4 linked regions of the Tribolium castaneum genome follow. The protein of the gene in region 4 purifies or fractionates together with the protein of the main gene of each other region. This does not show direct contact. Links are inferred from orthologs where the notes say so. Each region holds a gene or a part of one and is shown on either strand. Other genes may lie near its edges.

Region 1 (3,945 bases), on a different chromosome or scaffold from region 4:
TTAACAACCTGACGTAGTTCAGATAATGCACACTTTGTGACGTTATACGAGGCGATAAGTTAGTCTTTTAATCACTTAGTGGTGGTCGCCTATTAATAACAATTGTAAATATTTTTAATTAATGAATGACACAAGTGGAACACCGCCAGATTACTTAATTCGTAACATATGCTGACAACGTAACTTTAAAAATAACACACCCTTTGAATCAAATGGGACCATCCATCAACTGATGTAATTATTTACCTAAGTACCCAATTACTCACTTGATCTAAATATACACAATTCATAAAAGACTAACATAAATATTGACAGTGTTTAAACAAGATTAGCTCGCAATTTCCAGACTTACCTGTAACGATTTGTTCCTCCTGGGGTTTATCCTCGTTTCTTTTGAAAATAAAATCACCGAGGGCCCTGGAAAGGGCCAAGTTCCCGTTAACCCTGTTGTAATCAACAAACCCTCCCGCCGCTACGATCCTGTCGTACTCCTCCTTGTTGTTCGGCTTGTGGTCGTTCGAAAGCGGCTCCGCCTTGCCCCCAATGCTCGCCACAGCTCTAGAGTCCCCCACGTTGGCGCAGTACAACGTGCCATTTTTGATAATAATAGTGACGGCTGTGGAGCCCGACTGCTCGTTTCTCAACGACTCATCCTCCAGCATGACCCGGTCGATCTCCAAGAAGGCCTGCTTCAGCCCCTCCTCGATCTGGCCGTTCTTGTACTCCTCCCGGTTCGTGATAAACTTGTGCAGGTGCTTGCCCGCGTACTCCGAGATCTTGGAGCCCCCATGCCCGTCGTAGACCGCGAAAAACGCGGCCTCGGGGTCGTCCGGCAGGGACAAGATGTGCGTATGGGAGTCCTCCATGTTGATGCGCCAGCCCTGCATCGAACTTGAGCCCACTTGGAAATTGGCGTTTTGGCAGCATGCTGTGTTCTTGGCAGTCACCGGTTCGGACAAAGTTTGACCCATAGTACCCCTGAAAGGGCGATAAGTCCGCAAAAAGCGCAAAAACACGAGGCAAGCGGGAAAAAACCGTCGCTACTTACTCAAAATTGAACTCTGCTCTTTGGATGGGTTTTATTTAGCATACTTGTGCTAAATCGAATCGCATATTTTGCGTACGCTAATTAACACCGCTTTTTGCTGTTGTGTGTCACGAGATATGGAACGCAATATTTAGGTTAATCGGGAGAGAACTCTTCGAAAAAAGAGAAACTTGACGTTTGAATGTCGAGCTGGGACGCGGCCGGCTGAGTGCGTCATCGCCTGTGCACAAGGCCGAAAACTTTTTTATGTCCTAAACAATAAAAATGTGCGGCACGTTCTTCAAATAAAAACTATTGACAATAAATTCGTTGTTACTTATTACTAATTAAATTACGATTTGATTTTACAATCTTGGCGAGGGAAGCGCCAACATTGCGACACTTAATACACCAGCCAAATTTAAAAACCAAACTTTTACGAAATTGGGGGCAAGTGAATCGGGGTTGACACCCAATTAGGGTCATTTGCGACTTTTGCTCGTTCTGTATAGTGTTTCTTTGCCGCTTTCAAAGTCCCCCTAAAAGCGCAGCCTTTTGATTACGTTTGCTGCAGTTGGCACAATTGCAAGATGGCGTCCGAGAAACCCGGGAGCATTGAACAAGGTAAAGCATTTTTAATAAAAAATCACCCTGTAAATGTTACTTTTGGCTCAATTTAATTATTAAACGATTGTTGAGGCCTTGCATGGACAGTTTACGCGAAATTGTCGGCTAGCGTGCGTGGACAAGTTCGCATTTTAAACAGAGTGGCTTATGTCAATCTGTCAAAATATAATTGATTTGTTGCATTTCCTAGAGCAAGATCAATCTTTGAGCGATCTAGAGCAGACCTTAATGAGTATGGAAAATCTGGATAGAGCCTCTCCAGAAATTTGGCCAGAGAAGTGTAAGTAGCGTTGCACATGTTTGTGGGATTAGGGCAATAATAGGGTTTCAGATCCAGGAATGACAGATTTTGTAAACAGTTTCACGCCACCAAGTGCCGTAAAACTGCCTTACTCGAAGGAATTGAGTCAGGATGACCAGAATTATCTGCACCGTAAGTTTGGATTAGTTTTTGTGTGATTGTAGAGAAGAGTGTGGTTTTTGTAGAATTAGCAGCTCTTCCAACAGCTGGACTGATTTCTAAAGTCAAGGAGTTGCATGATATTGCATATCAGTTGGGTGTTGAGGAATCGAAAGAAGTCACAAGGGGGAAATACTTAAATGTTTTTAAGCCCAGGCAGAAGCAGAAATGATTTGCAATTTGTTACCTAAGTAGAGGTTCCAAATAACGTGGAAGTTATAAAAAGAGCAGGGGAAATATATTTGTACATAGGATTATAAGTTTAAGTTTAAAGAAGTGATTGTACGTTAATTTCCTGGAGAAAATCATTTTTGTAATGTATTATTAAGCAAGTGCTTCAAAAGGATTTATGTATTATATTGCACTGCTGAAGTTTCGTTTGTATAATAAAAATCGAAAATAAATTTGGTTTTGTAAAAGGTGTCTTCATTTTCTACAATTAAAATTTTGTTCCCCGTTAGCTCACCAAAACAATAATGAGGTGATGCATTATTATTATTATTATTATTATTATTATTACTGAACCCAGCAGCTTCCTAGATTAAAAATATCCGGTGGAATGTAAATTGATAATTATTTTTGCAGGAGATTAAGCTCTCTAATAGGGCCTTCAACTGTAAAAAATCATGTTCGGACAAACATTCCTTAGGACCTTAACATTTTTTTAATTTTTATAAAATTTCTCGATTTTGCAAATTGCGTTAAAAAACTCGTATTTAAGGATTGCTCTAATTAGTCAAATTAATAACTCATTTGTCCAGCAAGAACCAGAAGAAGGTTTAGAACATTCTTGCCAGGAAAAAAGGAATTAAGGATGAGGTAAACAATGATTATTAGAAAATAAAGGAATTATTTATGAAAAAAAAACAACACATAAATCAAATATTTTTTACTTGGCGTTAAATAAGATGCACCTACCTTCATATGGTTTCTGCGTTGGCTACTGTTTGTAGTTTGAAAATGTAAAAATTTTTACTTTTATGAATTTTGTGTCCGTTTCTGCTCTTTTAGAGCGTTATTAATTATTATTGAGTAGGTTTAAGGGTAGACAAATCTTCCTTGAGTCAACGACATAAACTTTAGTGTGATTTATTGAAATGTCTATTGGGCAAAAATAAACTTTTCGTGTCAAACATTTACATTAAAAAGGGTGTTTGATCGTTTATAAAGGGCGTGTACAAGCACAAGTACAACAACTTTTCTGTAAAAGCATTTTGCAAAATTTTTATTCATTATTTTCACTATTTTCCTTCTTTCCGGTAATAACTGATTCACTCTTCGGGGACTATTTTGAATATTGTAATAAATTTTCAAAGTTTGCGAAGAAAATGTTTTTTCGCGTAGAATGGCTGCAACCAACAATCCACTCTTGAAGAAAAACGCTTTAATTTTAATTAAAAACCAAAAGTCACTACTTATTTTCATTGAATTACATTGAACACTTATAAAAATTGTTAGTTCCCTTCATGTTGTTGAAAAAAAATATTTTGACTGCTGTTTGATGTGAATTATGTCCTCGCTTCGTTTTAAAAACGGCCTGAACTTTTGTAACTTTACTCTGGCTTGAATCAATGCTTTAGCTTCAATAATGCCGTTTCCATATTTTATATCCTGACCTTGTAATGGGCCTACAAAATCTCAATCAGATTCAATAGCTTCGTCCTTTTACAAACTCTCATTTCCTGCATTATATCCAAAAAAAAAACTGTCCAATACGCTTAAAAATTTCACAAAGAAAGTCGAAGTAAAGATATAAAATAGTGTCGTAACATCAATTACTAAATTTGTTTACCGTAATAATGTCAATAAAATGTTACACTGATCATTACAA
Region 2 (5,069 bases), about 2.5 Mb from region 4:
TTTGAGTTCCGACAAGACAATGTTGGTTGGGGACGCTTGCATTGACGATTTTACGGTCGTGAGGGTGGAGGCTCCCGAGGAAAAGGGCGTGGTCTCGGCATTGGTGGCCGTCACAAACTTAATGTATTGCATCTGAAAAGGAGAAAATTAATTCAGTAAATTGAAACACAACGGCGTTTTTCGACCAAGTTCCGGGCTTATTTTGGAAAATACACGAAAAAAACAAATATATCATTTTATTCAAAATTTATTTTTTTGGGTCGTTTAAATGAAATAATTCGAAAACTGAGTTTTTAACAGGTGATACCATTTTCCAACTAAATTATTTTTGGACGGTTCTTTCGACGAAAATTTTTGAAATAAGTATATTACTAGCTGCAAAATGTACTGCAAGCACCAAAAAAAAGGCAGAAATAAAGTCATTATTTGAGATTAAGATGTACCTATTACGGGTACAAACACCCAAAAAAAAATATTGGTAAAAGGTGCTTGAACGCTCAAAAAATGCAAAAATGGCACAATTTTTAACATACTTTAAAACATTTTTCAATTTTAAATAAATGATAATTACACCGTTTTTGACATTATTTATTGTTTTTAGGTTAATATTTTACGAAAAATTTACGTTTTTGGCCGTAAAAGTCACTAATATTTCTTGAAAAGATAAAAATTTTATACTTTTTCACATAATTAGTGATATTTTTTGATCCATTTTAACAAAACCTCGCGAATAACTTGAGTTTTCAGCTCAAAAAGAACCAAAAATGGTCCAAATATAATCATTTTTCATAGAATTTAGCAATTTCTCGGTTTACTTTTATCTAGGTTCCGTAATCTTTTACATAATTTACCAGTTTACCGAAATCTCTTTCGAAAAAAATATAGAATTTTTAATTTAAAAACTGCTTAAACATTTGAAAATGACCAAAAATAACATTATTTTTGGTATAATTAGTAATTTTACAGCTTAGTTTGCAGTCTTCAAAGTAAAAGTTAAAACAAAAGCAATTGTATTCTTAAGAGTCCACTACAGTATTTTAATTTTTCTTTAACACTTATTATTGATGCACAGTAATTTTTTTTAAAGACCTTCTATTTAAAAAAACACTGAGAAAAATGGCTGAAATTCGGTGCTTTATAGCGTGGTATTCTCCTCCTTAATGAGTTAATGACATCGCTCTTATTAAAAAAAAATTCTAAATAGCAGTCTGGCTTTCTTAATTTGCTTTTTTGATCGAAAAATCGCGCGAAAAAATTCTTTTCATTAAAAAAAACATGAGAAACGTTCCCAAAAGGTAAAGATTGCATCTTTTCCGAACTAGTTTGGTCAATTTGGTGAATTTTGGTGCACTTTTTTTAATCACTTCCTTAAAATAATTATATTTTTTGCTAATAAATCGCAATAAAATGCTCGTAAAGTCAAGTTAATGCCATCAGAGAACTAACTTGGCGATTTTTTGGTCCAATCTAACAAAATTTAGTTAAAAATTTTGTGTTTAACGCTTAAAAGGGGCAACAATATTATCGTTTTTTTTTAGTTTATTTCTGATAAAACTCCTCTAAAAAGTTACAATTAGGTTCCTGGCTGGAAAGAGTATAAAACGCTCACAAAAAGCACAAAAACGCGTTCGCGTTTTGACTTTAGGAATTTTTTGTTCCAGTTTAACCAAAATCTCGCGATACGGTCTTTCTAAAGTCCTCAAAAAAAAAACGATGGAATTTTTTACCCACCTTATAGTGGCTTTTTGGGTTATTTGTAACGAAAGTCCTAGAAAGAATTGCGGTTCTGTCAGTAAAACCGATTAAAATGCTCCCAAAATGGCAAAGAAAAGTAAATTCTGATCTAATTTACTCATTTGATAGCTCAAGAAGTCTTTAGACGTTCGAAAAGGGAGAAAAACAATATCATTGTTCATATAATTCGGAGCTTTTTTGCTTACTTCTGATGATATTCCCCGAAATTATTCGTATCCTGGTTGTAAAAAATTCAAAAATAAAATTTTTCACATGATTCAGTGATTTTTCTTTACTACGAAACTCCTCAAAAAAACCTACTTAAACGCTTTAGAAATACAAAAATGCGATTTTCGAACCAATTTGATGATTTATCGACTAAGTTGGGCCCCAACTGGTCGAAATAATCAACTGATCCACCTTGAAAAACTCACCCCTTTCCCTGGAATATTAATCTGATGCAACTGTCCCGTGCTCAGCGCCTGCGTCCCTGCCACTTGTATAATTTGCGGCGAAGACAAAATCGTGTGCCCCGTCCCCGAACTCTTGAAAATAATCCTTTGGGGCACCTTCCCTCCAGTCGCCTGCGTAGCTGGAAGTATCTTCGTGGGCGACTTAATCTGACTCACGACCGTTTTCTGCCCCAACAACTGTCCTGGCGCCACTTGGGGCACAATTTTAATCGCCTTGGTGCCAGGATTATTCAAAACCATAGTACGCTTCGGTGTGGAAGTGGCCTGCGGGAGCACCTTGGTGGTGGTAATGAGCCCCATCTCCTGCGCTTGCTGAAGGGTTATAGTCTTGGCGGGGCTCGGAAGCGTGGTTTGCCCCGGCATTAGCTTGACTTGGTCGGCTTTCTGCACCACCATAATATGCCCCTGCTTGTTGGTGAACGTGGGGGTGGTCTTCGGGGGCGTTTTCTGCGTGGAGGTGACGATTTTCTTCATGACGACTTGCTTGGGCTGGACTAAGGTGGTGGTGACTGTTTTGACGGCGGGCTTGATGGCCACGGGGCGCCCCAAAGACACGTTGGCGAGGTTCAGCTCTTGGCCCCCGGATGAGACCAGTTTGATGGCTTGGTTGCCGCCAGTCCCCTGGAGGAGGAGGAGTTGTTGGCCGGGGGCCGGCTTCATGGCGATGGGGACCGCCTTGGCGGGTTTGGGGGCTATGGTCAGGGGGCGCAATGGGGGGATTGTGGAGGTTTTGATTTTGACGTCCGGGAGGATCTCCTCGGGGGAGGGGGCGCGTTCGGTTTCAATCTCAATCTCTTGGGCCCCTATTTCGGACTGCATGACGTCAGCGTCCACTTGACCGGTCTCCTCAACTGTCTCGATTATCACCTCTGGTTCTGAAACCTGTAGTTGAGGGCGATTTTGGGCAGAGGCCGGGCTTACCGTCGGTCTCCATGTCGTTTGAAAGGTGCAGCTCTTGGGACAGTTCCGCCAGTTGCTGGATGTCTGTGGAAGACAAACTCGTGAGGTTTGTCTCGGTCAGAGTGGCCCCATCGATGGTGAGAGTGTCCACGAGGGCCTCCACGTCTTCGTTGTTACCTGCAAGCGAGGCATTTTTGAATTCTGACCCCGGGAATTTCACACTTTTGGTTCAAATTGAAAAATTATTGACTCGTGTGTAAACCGCAATACCAGTTAAAGTGTGACTGGACGCGTCCATGGTGCTCGCAAATTCGCGCTAAGGCCCTAGGTTTGATTCAAATTTGGAGCCTCAAGTGAAAAGGACGCTTTTTAAAATCGCGCTCCTGGCGTGGAAAATTTGGCCACGAAACGACCCACAATTAAGAAGGAAGCCAGTGTCCAACGCAAATACACTACCTTTGTCACTGAAGGGCATAATTGCGCCCGATTTTACCGAATTTTCACAAAAATTAAAACTATTCAAAACACCATAGTCAAATTTGACATGTCACGTGACCAGGGAAGCGTTCAAACCACAGAACAGTAAGGGTTAAGAAGTGATAATTCCCTAGTAAATCACTGGCAACACGAGAATCCAGCGCCTCTGGTCCTGAAGTGCGTTACTACCACGGTAAAGCGCCACGTTTGAATAAATTCCTTTTATATTGTTTTTTATTATTTTTATCTTACAAGTTTCATTGCAAATTGTTTAAAATAAAAAAATATATTTTCATTTTAAACAAAGTGAAAACGTTTTATATTTATTTTAAACAAAATTTGCAATGAAACTTACAAAAAAAGTTGTTTTGGGGTAATAAAACACAGATTTTGTTAACATTTTTATTGTACACTTGAGTAACATAACAAATTAAATTTTTCAAAAAATTAAAGTATTGTATTATTTCTTAATTATACAAAAATTATCAAAAAATTAAATCAGTCAGTGTTGGCATGTTTTGCCTGTCTGCTCGAGACTTAAAACAAAATAAGGTCTGCTTTGCAATGACTTTTACCTTGTCTGTCAGCAAACAGTTGCCCACGCTACGACCACGAGGAGGTACAATTTTGAACTTACAGGATCCTCAATTTTGCAGGCATTCTTCCACAATTCTTGAAGCTTTGGATTCTTAGGGAAGGTGAAGAAATGCTTATTGGACTGTCCTTTGTTGGGAACATAACCACTGGTGCATCCGGGGTATTTGCAGGAATATTTGCGATAACCAGCCATGACTAAAGTTCGCTTGAGTAGTAGAAATCAAAAATCCGTCACTCCAGCCCAGAGACCAATGCCTTTAAAATAGAAAGAAACACCAATCAAAAAGATGAGGTTATATTAACAAAAGAAGAGATACTTATCTTTTTCGTCGGCGCTCAACACCAGGAATTGACTCACTAACGAACTGTAATCAGAATTTTTGCTTTGATTAAACGATTAAACAAATAATTACTACATACTTCCGGTAACACGTTGAACGATGAGTGACAAAACAACACTTTTGGCGCGATATTTTCGAAGCGATCTTTTTAGCGATCTGCGCGCAAGCCATAGAATATAGTAGTTATAGAAAATCAAGTAACACGTAATTCACTGGTCGTCAAAATTTCGATAATAGCGCCATATCTTGGTAGTATGAGGAACTAAAATTGGCGGCAAATTTAAATATTTTATTATTTATACAATTAATTTAATATTATAATTTTTTTACAATTTAAACACACATAACCGATTTTATTGAAAATCGGTTAAATGTGTTTAATTGCAAAATTTTGTTAGTATTATAAATATAAAGAAAAAATAAATACAATGAATGAAAATAATTTATTAATGAATTAACGTTTATAAGAAATAAATGTCGTGTTTGGCTTCCACATTTAATTTGGCAACTTTCTCACCCTCAAAACCGGTTATTTAACATTATTTTG
Region 3 (5,225 bases), on a different chromosome or scaffold from region 4:
TCTCAAGGTTAAGTTTTCAGAACTTGGTTCATTTTGCATATGCCCTGGCAAAGCCGTCTCTTCGAATTTCGGTACTTCCCTATCGGAAGATGTTATTGCTTCCCAAATTAAACTGTCTGATTTCCAGACCAGCGAGGAAAGTATAGTTTCCTCGATCTAAAAACGACAGTTTCATACAAAACAGAGTAAAGGTGGAGAACAGAATGAGAAACAGAAACTGCTGACTAATTATAATAAATTATCAGTGATTGAAATAAATCATAATCCTTCTTCACTGTTTGCTTTATATGTAGAAGATATCTGAAGCTTTAAAACAAAATATTTACTCGTAAATTCGACAATTAAATATTCAAATAAAATACAGTTATGCATTTCTTATTATATGGCCCTTGAAAACTTTCAAAAATTGATTAAAAGAAGAGGATTTTTATAAAACCTGTCTACAAGATAGTGTAGAAAAATCAATTTGACCTAATTTCTTAATGATTTTTCAGTCCAGTTTATCAAAACGTCGCGAAAAACCTGACTATTGAGCTCAAAAATGTGTTTTATTTCTCGAAAAAGATTAAAATAATTGCGTTTCTTGATGAAAAACACGTTTAAACCCTTAAAAAAAGCAAAATAAATGACATTCTCAACCGACTTTGACGATTTTTCTGGCAGAGATTAGCGAAATTTAGCGAAGAAAATGAGTTTTTAGCTCAAACACGTACTTACCGCTTCAATTTAAAGATTTCGTCTTAAATTAAAAATTTGCTAACTAGAAAATATACTTAAACCATTTAACGTAATTTAATTTTTTAGTTCAAAAAAAACCAGACAATAACACCGTTTTCGAGCACAATAATTTAATTTCTTTAAACTTGCGCCAAAATTCTTTAAAATAATTGTGTCCTTACATATGCAAACCGTGTTAAAACCCTCTTAAATAGGAAATAAATGTCACTGCTAGTTTTTTTTCTGCCCCAGTTCAGCGTAATTTCACGAACAAATTTAGTTTCTAGCGCAAACACGTGTTTAAATGGCGAAAAATTACACTATTTTTGAACTAATTTCATAATTTCCGCTTTTTTTTAATTTGACGAACTAATTTTATTTAGAGGTGGAGAGTATATTGAAACATATTTTGGTCTATTTTTGAGAAAATTTTATGATTTTTTGCACAGTTTCACGAAATCTCAAATCAAAAAAACATCCCGACTGTAATGTTCTTACCATATTAAGGTGTTTGATAGTGTCCCTTGAAAGCTTATCTCTTGAGCGAATGATAAGTTCAATCACTTTAACAAAATTATATGGTTGTATTTGCAGTGCTTTCAATATCCAGGGGAACCTTTGCCGACTATTGTATGAATAAATAACAATTTCTAAACAACAAGCAAACATACATTCGTAAAATACGTCTTTTTCCACAATGGCCTAAAAAAACAATAAAAATACTACAGAACAAATAATAATTAAAAAACATACCGATAAATCAGCATGTATTGAGCGCTCATTCTGCAGAATACTTTCAATAAATTTATAAAACAAAGTTGTCGCGAGCTGCAGTCGCCTTTGTGCTACTTCTCTTTGGTCAACTGGGTGGCCTTCCAGAAACCTCTCCCCCAAATTTGTAACAATTTGATTGATTCTCTCAGTTGGATTGCGAGCACAAGACCTTAAAACATCATCATAGACACGTTCAACCACTCTGGGCGTCATAATTACTCAAACAATTGCACTAAAGCCTCACTGGGGGCCGGCTGGCGCCCATGAAGCAAGTTATTAAGCCTTGAAATGCTTTCAGTAGCTGTCACAAGCGGAGTCGACTCTTGCGACTCCTTCGGGCCCAAATATTTGCGGCCAGTGAGCGGCGTCAAACACTCTTTACTAACAACCTATTAACAAACGTAAAAAAAATACCACACACAAAAATAAAATACCATTTCTTTGGTCGATAACTCCGGACTTGCGTTGTCAGCTGAAATTGCAAAATTCAATTGTTTGATCATAGATTTCTCGATTCAAATTACCTGCATTTTGCGCCACACTCTGGTCTCTCACTAGAAGTTTTCTTTTGTACTCAGCTGGAATGAAACAGGTGTTAGGGCAAGGTCAGGAGCATCTGTTCAGGTAAGACAGTCAGCTGTTTGCGCAGCTGGCTCGCCATATGATTGGACTAGCTGTAAAATCACTCACCCAGGAAAATGCGCTCGTCAAAATCGCTCTTATTCAGGATATTTTTCTCGTACACGTTCCCAATGCTTTTGTAATTATGGTCAAACACCGAGGTGTCCAAGACATCGCCTTGGTCGTTCTCAATCAAGACGCCTTGGTCGAGATAATTCCGAATCGATTTTTTGAACTGGTACTCTTTTACGTACTTCAGGTCGGTGATTATGTTCGGACTGGGGCACAGTAAGCTGACGATGCAAGGGGCCTCCGAAGGGGGCACATAGCTGGGCTGGGCGAAGTCTTCAGGCAGGCCCGCAAAGTCGGGGTTTAGGAGATCCTTGCGGTCGGCTTGGAGCGCATGTTTGAACGCCCAGTCGCAAATGGCAATAAGTAAATGACACGACGTGACCAAGTCGTTGTTATAATTCGTGTCTTCACTTTTTATTGTGATAAACAAGGTCCAACAAAACTCGAAGACTTTGAGTGGGGACGAAGGCACAGGTCTAAAATATACAATTTCGTAGTTGAAATAAATTGGTTTAGAGAGACTTCTTACTTATTTTTCCGGTTTCTGTGTTTACTTGTGTCCAGTTCGTGCGCTTCTGGAGCTTTAGGTGCCTTAAATATTTGCATAAAGAGAGGCTGGTATTCTTTAAAAACGTTGTAAGCCACAGAGAAGCTCCCTTCCAGATACTCAATCCGCTTTTTGAACTCCTCAGGCATGCTGGCCATGTCCGACCATTGTTTGATTTTGTAAAAGAACTGTGCTATGCTGTAACCATGCGTTAAAAATAACCCAAAGACTGTTTGTTGTTGGCTGACCTTAAGTTACAATGACGCAGAAGATTGGTCAAGTTAACACAATTCGTGTGAACACTATTTTGTGCAGCCGTTGCAGCGATGGACTTCCAACACGACACGTATATTGCACACCCTATCCAGTGGAGGGGCTCCCCCTGAAAATCCCGATAGTTTGCAGTGATTTAAGGGGTTGAGACTCACCTCCAGAGTGAAATTCTTGTTAATTGTCTCAAATCGCTCCCAAGCGTCTCTGGAAATCTGTTGGCTCAGGTGCAGTTTGTTGCACAGTTCTGAGTGTTTCTCCTCCAATTCTTCGGTTTCGCTTGATAACACCATGATTTCCAACAATTACAAACCGCTGCTAAACAATTTCGCACCACTAGCCACCATTGAGCTCTTGACAACGCCTACAAAAGGCGGGAATCCACACAAGAGACGACTAAAAAACAACACAATCACGCTCAAACCCCGACTTTCCCGCTTTGCACATTATTTTCGACGAGGAAATGCCGCTAAAATCCAAAATATTTCGGCGTTTACGCGCGAATACGTACACAGTTTTTTGTCGATCAGCCAGAACTACTTTTGACTGCGCATGGAGGGTAACCTCAAACCCAAATTTGGAAAGTTACCAGTAACTTTATAATCGAAGCACTTTGCAAGTTTTTAGCCACACTTTAATTAATTAGGACACTATGTGCCAATACAGCTGCTGTGGGCACGAAAAGGGGAGAGAAATGGGCTTTCCCGCCAATTCTTAGCGCCAAACACAAACACCGTTTAGGGAAGTTTCGCATTAGTGGAAGCTTCACCTGCTGGCTTGGGGACGCGCGCAAGATGAATTTTAATTTTTATTACAAAAATTTTTATTACAGTGATACTAGTCAAATTCAATAACACTGCTTCGTGAGGACCGTGGCGAGCGGCTGGAGGAGGGTTCCGAAAATACCAAGTCCTTGTAACTGGCGTCTTGTAAAACTTTCTCGATTTTTTCCACAATATTTTTCGTTTTCTTTTTGTCAGGGACGGGCAAGTTTGGTGTTAGGTATAGGTCGCTCACTTCGGGTAGCTCCAGGGCTAAATAGGGAGCACCGCGTGCAACGTTTTCTCGCATCTAAATATTATTTGTTGACATAAATAAAATCAATTCATTGCTATACATGCCTGCACTTTTTTTCGCTCTAATGTCGCAATTTTGAAATTGATATCGCTCTTACTTGAGCCATCATTTGCAAACAGGTCTTTTTTTAGAATAAATTCCAACTCTTTTATTTTTTCTTTGAGAAATTTGTCATCAATTGCTTCTTCAAACTGTTCTTCTCTGTAATAGCGTTAACAATTTAATAAAAAACGAGGTTTAGAAAAAAAATCATACTTATTTATTGTTTCGGGACTATCAGACGTTCTCCACATTTTTGGAATCAAAACACTATTTTGTAGAGGAGGTGGAGGCAAAACTTGCGATTCAACAATTTTCTGTATTTCGTTGCTCTGATTTACTATTTTAATAACAGCGATGTGATTGCAACAAGTGATTAACAGTGGTGATCTTTCAAAAAGTTCGATCTCAATCTCATTAAAGGAAGTGCGTTTAGGGCCGGGATAAATGCATTCAATTCCCCATTCAATTAATTTTCCAAACACTTTAAAAGACGGGAAACTGATAGAAAAACTTTGAATGCACTTTTGTTTTTCCAAATCCCATAATTTAAACATCTACAACAATTATACAAAAATTAGTAAATAGAATTAAATGCAAAATAGAAAAATATACTGCATCAGCTGAACAACTAATAAGTAAATTTAGTTTATCCAATATTTTAACGTCCATAATCGGTGCTTGATGTCCTTTCAAAATTGCGATTGGTTTTGAGGTAATAATAGGGTTCCACAATCTCAGAACAGAATTTTCGCTTCCTGTGGCTAGTATCTTACGTATTCTGCTTAATGCAAAACAGTTACAACCCTAGCGGTTTAATAAATAAATATGACAACTTTCGTAACAGTGACTGTGTTACTTACTTTTTGTATCTTGAAAATGTACGGCTTGTTTTTATTTCCGATATAATGTATTAATATTGACACATTTGAGTCTTTGCTGCAAGAAATAAGAGTTTCATTATCATTAAAATATACAAGCCATTTGACACTCTCTTGATGTAGACGCCCGTTACGTTTAACAACAACGTAATCACTTTCATCTGGTAACTCCTGCAAAATTATCTAATCTGTTTGTACAGTGACAAAAAATCGGACGTACATCCCAG
Region 4 (4,527 bases):
TGTCTGGATTTTTCCACCCTAGGGCTTTCCCAGTCCTGATCATACTCTCCCGCCCATATCTCATCCCGATACTGTTACACGGATCTTTCTGCCACGTCAAGGACGGTAGCATTTTCCAGTCTCCTTCAGTGTACTTTTCCACGAAAATTGCACCTTCTGCCGTTTCGTCCAAAGGCTTTGCGAATGTAAAATCAATGGAGATGGCACGATGGGTGCGATTGAAACGATCGATTCGGAAAAGTCTGATAGGGACTTCGAGTTTGTCGTTATCAGGGCATAAATAACCCGTTTCCAAGTCTGCTTTAAATTTACTCGTGAGCTGGAATAAAAAATTTAGGTGTTTTTGTAATTGGGTGATTGGGCTTACGAAATTGCCGTTTGTGGTTTTTGGGGTGAAAAAAATTAAGCAGAGGATGGGTCGCAAAAGTTGGAAGGACATTTCGTAGTTCGTGCCAGTTTTGACAAAAACACAATTAATTTATAGGTTTGCAATTATATGCTCATGCCAGAGGTTATTATTATACGCAACAAAACGGATGAGAGATTGGAGATAAAAATGAATTTTTGACAAACAACCAATGAAAGATTTTAAACACAACATATGATTTACTATAACAATGATTTTGTTGTATCATAAAAAAATAAAATTTATTTTTGCTAACAGTCATTCTTGACCATTTTACTGAAAATTTTTCCGAATGGATTTTTGAAACTGGCTGTATTTACAGTTGTTTGACTACTTTTTAAGTAATTTGTAAAATACAGGTAAGGGTTTTTTTGTGGATACTAGATGAGTTGCTTCTAATTGAATCTACAGTTATTATAAGAATTTATAGGACAATTAAAAATGGTGGATGCGCCGGGAAAATGTTACATATTGCAATTATGAATAGAACAATCATAATTTTGAGACAATTAAGTGTTAGAAATAATTTTTTTAAAAGTCTTGTCAATGATTGTTTAAGTCAAATTAAATAAAAAAAATTCAAAAAAAATATTTTTTTTTCAAAAAATTTTGTGGATTAATTGATATCTAACACTCTTTTAGGACAAAATATGCAAAAACAATCATTTTGTGACGTATATTTGACTCATGTAATGATTTTTTCGTCCAATTTCAGTCTACAAATAACACGCAATGTTTCTCGAAAACTTGTTACTACTTTCATTTATTGGAAACACCGTCAGCGTCAGTTTTGTAACACTTTTCCACCTATTTTTTTCTTCAAATTATAACATTTACATTTTAGTTAGTAAACAGATTCACTGCGGACCTTGAATCCGCTTACTTATGCCCTGATAATGATAAACTTGAAATCCCCATGAAACTTATCCGCATTGATCGGCTTAACCGCACCCATCGGGCCATTACCATGGAATTTTCCTTCGCCCATGCGGTGGATGACACCTCTGAAGGGACTTATTTTATCGAAAGATTTGTCGATGGCGGCTGGAAGTCGTTTCCAGGTGTTCCTTTCCAGAAAGATGTTTGTAAAACTTTGATGAAGTATAGCAAAGATTCAATGGTTAGGTTGGGCAAAGTTATGGGGATGGAACGGCCTGGTACATGTCCCATCCCTGCGGGGAATTACTCGGTAAAAAGATGGCCCTTTGAGCTGCATTTTGAGACGCCTTTCTGGCCGGGGAGGTACAGGTTTCAGACGGTTTGGAGGCGCATTGCCACCAAACAGAAGATTTTTTGCTCCATGAGTGTCATTAATTTTGTTGAGATTGTCGAATAAAAATAAAATTGTTGACTATTATTCACTCAATAAAAAAGTAATTGAAGGAATTACAAGTAAATAAGGAAAATGAGAACACATAATTATTTATTTTGAGCGTTTGAAATAAAACAAAATTATTTGTTATTTAAAAATTTATTCAAAACAATACAACTGTGTTAAAACGAAATAAATATAAAAACCGTTACACATACGCAGATCTGGCTTTTACAACTCTATTAAACGATTTATAATAAAAAACTCGGTACTTTTGACTTAAAAATGACAAGCTGGCAAACATAACAACTAAAAAAGTTGTTTCGGTGGGTGATTCAGTCACAAAAAACAATTCTTTTTTTTCCTATTTTCAAAGTAAAGTGGAGCACTATTGTAATATTATTATTTTACACAACAAATCGAAAAACTTCCACACTCTTCTGGCTTTTTTTTTGGTTACACAACAGTAACATTTGAGGCGGTTCTGTTGGTGCTCACATAGTGACGCTTGCCTTAACCTCATTATTGACTGTTACAATTCAAAATAACAAAATGACCAAAAAACGCAAGTTTTCGTCAAATTTGGGCTCAATTAAGGTGGAAGTGAAGGAGGAGAACGTCCTGGGCAATGACTACTTGATGGCCAAGGGCCGCCTCAAAGGCGTCCTCAAGCAACTAACTGAGAAAAGTGACTCCGACAGCGACTCGTCCGATGAACGGAGTTCCAAATAGTAATTTAAACTTTTTTTTGGCCAATTTTTCACTAATTTTTGTAGCGAAAATCGCAAACGTAAAGGCGACTCTGTCCTAACCCCCTACCGCCACACCTACGTTATGAAATTATTCGACAGAAGCGTAGATTTGGCCCGGTTTGAGGAGGACACTCCCTTGTACCCCATTTGCAGGGCTTGGATGCAGAACCAGCCCCGAAATCCGCAATCAATCGTTAAGTGAGTTTGCAATCATTGTTGCCAACTCAATTTTAAACCAAATTATTTAGGCGCCGATTATCGTCACCTGAACCTAATGAATTTAACTGGAATACGAGCATGATCACAGACTTGCACAGGTTGCCGCCCCCTATAGGTCCCGTGGTCAGTAGAATCCCATCACCTTTGCCTGAACAAACGGAACAAAACAAGGATAATATAAATTTGAATTATGTAAGATGGTACAATTTATTACTAAAAATTGATCGTTTCATCACAGGAGGAATGTCCACCTGTTCCCAAAGATATCTTGATCAGGAATCACCTGCAAAGGTGGGTCAAGGTCAAGAAGAAGTGGATTGACACTGCGGTTAAAAACGAGGAACGGTATCATTTGAGCACGCAAATGCTCCAAACTATTTACAATAAGTACGAAAACACGTACAATTTCGTCTAGTTTAATTTTCTGTTTTTCAGGGCACAAGAAGCAATGGAATAGTTTTTAACACTTGGAATTTTATTGTATTGTGTGTTGTAATGAAAGTAGTGATTTTGTCAACGCATTTAATAAACCATTTTACAACAAAATGCAGTTTTAATATACACCCCGAGAAATTCTCTTGCCAACCTGACCATTCAAACCCAAACGAGCGAAATGTTTATCCACATATTATGAATGTATTTATTAGCCTAGAGACTCTCAGGCCCCTTTTTTATCTTTAAAATATTTTGAATGTTTTTTTTTGACAATTTGAGCACTGACATTGTTGACAGCTGTCAGTCGTCCTAACCTAACTTCTACAATTTTTACCTGTTTTTAAGCCCAAACAATTTAGAAAAATTATGTGAAAGTGTAATTATCGTAAAAATGGCCACCTCGACCGAAATCGAGACCTACATTATTGACGACGACGACGAGCCCGAAGCCCCGGAGCTCGACGAGGAAGAGAACCGTTTTTACACCATAAACTCTACCCTAGACAAGCAAATCGCCCAGGACATGGAAGCCATCCGCAACTACATCTCGGAAGCCCCCCGGTTCGACCCCCTCAAGAAACGAATCGAGTTTTTCAACAGCATGGACACGTCATATATCGACCGTTGTGTGGACAAGACCGTGGACCCCATCCTGTGCCAACACACGGGTCTGGGGACCCTCAAGTGGCACACCTGCAACCAGTGCGACTTCAAGACCGAAACCAAGGAGCAGTTGCGCCAGCACGTCATCATCAAACACACCCAACTGGGCAAGTTAAACTGGTATGTGTGCCAGCACTGCGAGTTCGTGTGCCCCCAGGAGGCCGATATGGCGAAACACACGAAGGGAGCACACGAGAACAAGTGCACAGAGTGCGGGGAGGTGTTCATCACGGAGCCCCATCTGCTGAGGCACAGGGCACACAAACACGGCTTGAAGATATTTGATTGTAAAAAGTGCGAGTTTGTGACCAAAACATCCGAAGAATTTACGAGGCATACGTTAACACATGCCAAACTCAACTTCAGTTGGTACAAATGTGAAAGGTGCGAGTATCGAACGGTCAAAAAGTCCAATTTGGACAGACACATCAGCCACAAACATTCGTTTTTTTAGTTTAGGGATTTATAAATAACCGGATTTATTCGTATTTTTTACCTCAAATCAAATAAAACACTCAAGTCGCATGTGCTGTGTTTCATTTCACGCGCGTGATTGGCCGAAGCCGGTCACGTGGCGACGCCAACCAATCACAATCCGCTTGTCAGTTTTTTAACGTAACCTAAAAAAGTATAAAATCTAGTTGTTTCCTTTTGTGTTTCGATTAATTCTCGAGCCCTTGGTGATTATTTTACATTCGCGATCGTGCGCGGAGTGGTTTTCGGTGATCGTATTTATTATG

The links. Proteins that work in one complex are often made in the same cells at the same time.
Region 1: the proteins of mip40 (region 4) and lin-52 purify together in Homo sapiens (affinity purification with mass spectrometry; 6 studies listed by BioGRID and IntAct, counting the BioPlex papers as one, with this or other methods). This does not show direct contact. The link is inferred for Tribolium castaneum from reciprocal best matches to the Homo sapiens genes LIN37 and LIN52.
Region 2: the proteins of mip40 (region 4) and protein lin-54 homolog purify together in Homo sapiens (affinity purification with mass spectrometry; 4 studies listed by BioGRID and IntAct, counting the BioPlex papers as one, with this or other methods). This does not show direct contact. The link is inferred for Tribolium castaneum from reciprocal best matches to the Homo sapiens genes LIN37 and LIN54.
Region 3: the proteins of mip40 (region 4) and retinoblastoma-like protein 1 purify together in Homo sapiens (affinity purification with mass spectrometry; 3 studies listed by BioGRID and IntAct, with this or other methods). This does not show direct contact. The link is inferred for Tribolium castaneum from reciprocal best matches to the Homo sapiens genes LIN37 and RBL1.

What each region holds. Positions count from the first base shown.
Region 1 is NC_087402.1:6,134,942-6,138,886, reverse strand, and holds lin-52 (protein lin-52 homolog), read left to right. Parts: upstream 1-1,503; 5' UTR 1,504-1,617; coding exon 1,618-1,651; intron 1,652-1,844; coding exon 1,845-1,934; intron 1,935-1,985; coding exon 1,986-2,087; intron 2,088-2,140; coding exon 2,141-2,286; 3' UTR 2,287-2,533; downstream 2,534-3,945. Other genes in the region: probable protein phosphatase 2C T23F11.1, read right to left, coding at 353-971.
Region 2 is NC_087399.1:5,898,722-5,903,790, reverse strand, and holds the start of protein lin-54 homolog, read right to left. Parts: upstream 3,713-5,069; 5' UTR 3,583-3,712; coding exon 3,564-3,582; intron 3,285-3,563; coding exon 3,129-3,284; intron 3,083-3,128; coding exon 2,169-3,082; intron 133-2,168; coding exon 1-132. UniProt on the Homo sapiens protein: Component of the DREAM complex, a multiprotein complex that can both act as a transcription activator or repressor depending on the context. In G0 phase, the complex binds to more than 800 promoters and is required for repression of E2F target genes.
Region 3 is NC_087396.1:19,756,286-19,761,510, reverse strand, and holds the start of retinoblastoma-like protein 1, read right to left. Parts: upstream 3,713-5,225; 5' UTR 3,295-3,712; coding exon 3,160-3,294; intron 3,114-3,159; coding exon 2,980-3,113; intron 2,930-2,979; coding exon 2,714-2,929; intron 2,661-2,713; coding exon 2,182-2,660; intron 2,070-2,181; coding exon 2,016-2,069; intron 1,964-2,015; coding exon 1,926-1,963; intron 1,881-1,925; coding exon 1,711-1,880; intron 1,661-1,710; coding exon 1,471-1,660; intron 1,420-1,470; coding exon 1,216-1,419; intron 157-1,215; coding exon 1-156. Other genes in the region: WD repeat-containing protein 64, read right to left, coding at 3,839-4,072, 4,123-4,279, 4,334-4,674, 4,733-4,924, 4,981-5,169, 5,219-5,225. UniProt on the Homo sapiens protein: Key regulator of entry into cell division. Directly involved in heterochromatin formation by maintaining overall chromatin structure and, in particular, that of constitutive heterochromatin by stabilizing histone methylation.
Region 4 is NC_087399.1:3,374,681-3,379,207, reverse strand, and holds mip40 (protein lin-37 homolog), read left to right. Parts: upstream 1-2,197; 5' UTR 2,198-2,270; coding exon 2,271-2,449; intron 2,450-2,494; coding exon 2,495-2,668; intron 2,669-2,718; coding exon 2,719-2,881; intron 2,882-2,927; coding exon 2,928-3,076; intron 3,077-3,124; coding exon 3,125-3,146; 3' UTR 3,147-3,235; downstream 3,236-4,527. Other genes in the region: uncharacterized protein LOC107398505, read right to left, coding at 1-319, 368-439; RE1-silencing transcription factor B, read left to right, coding at 3,516-4,241.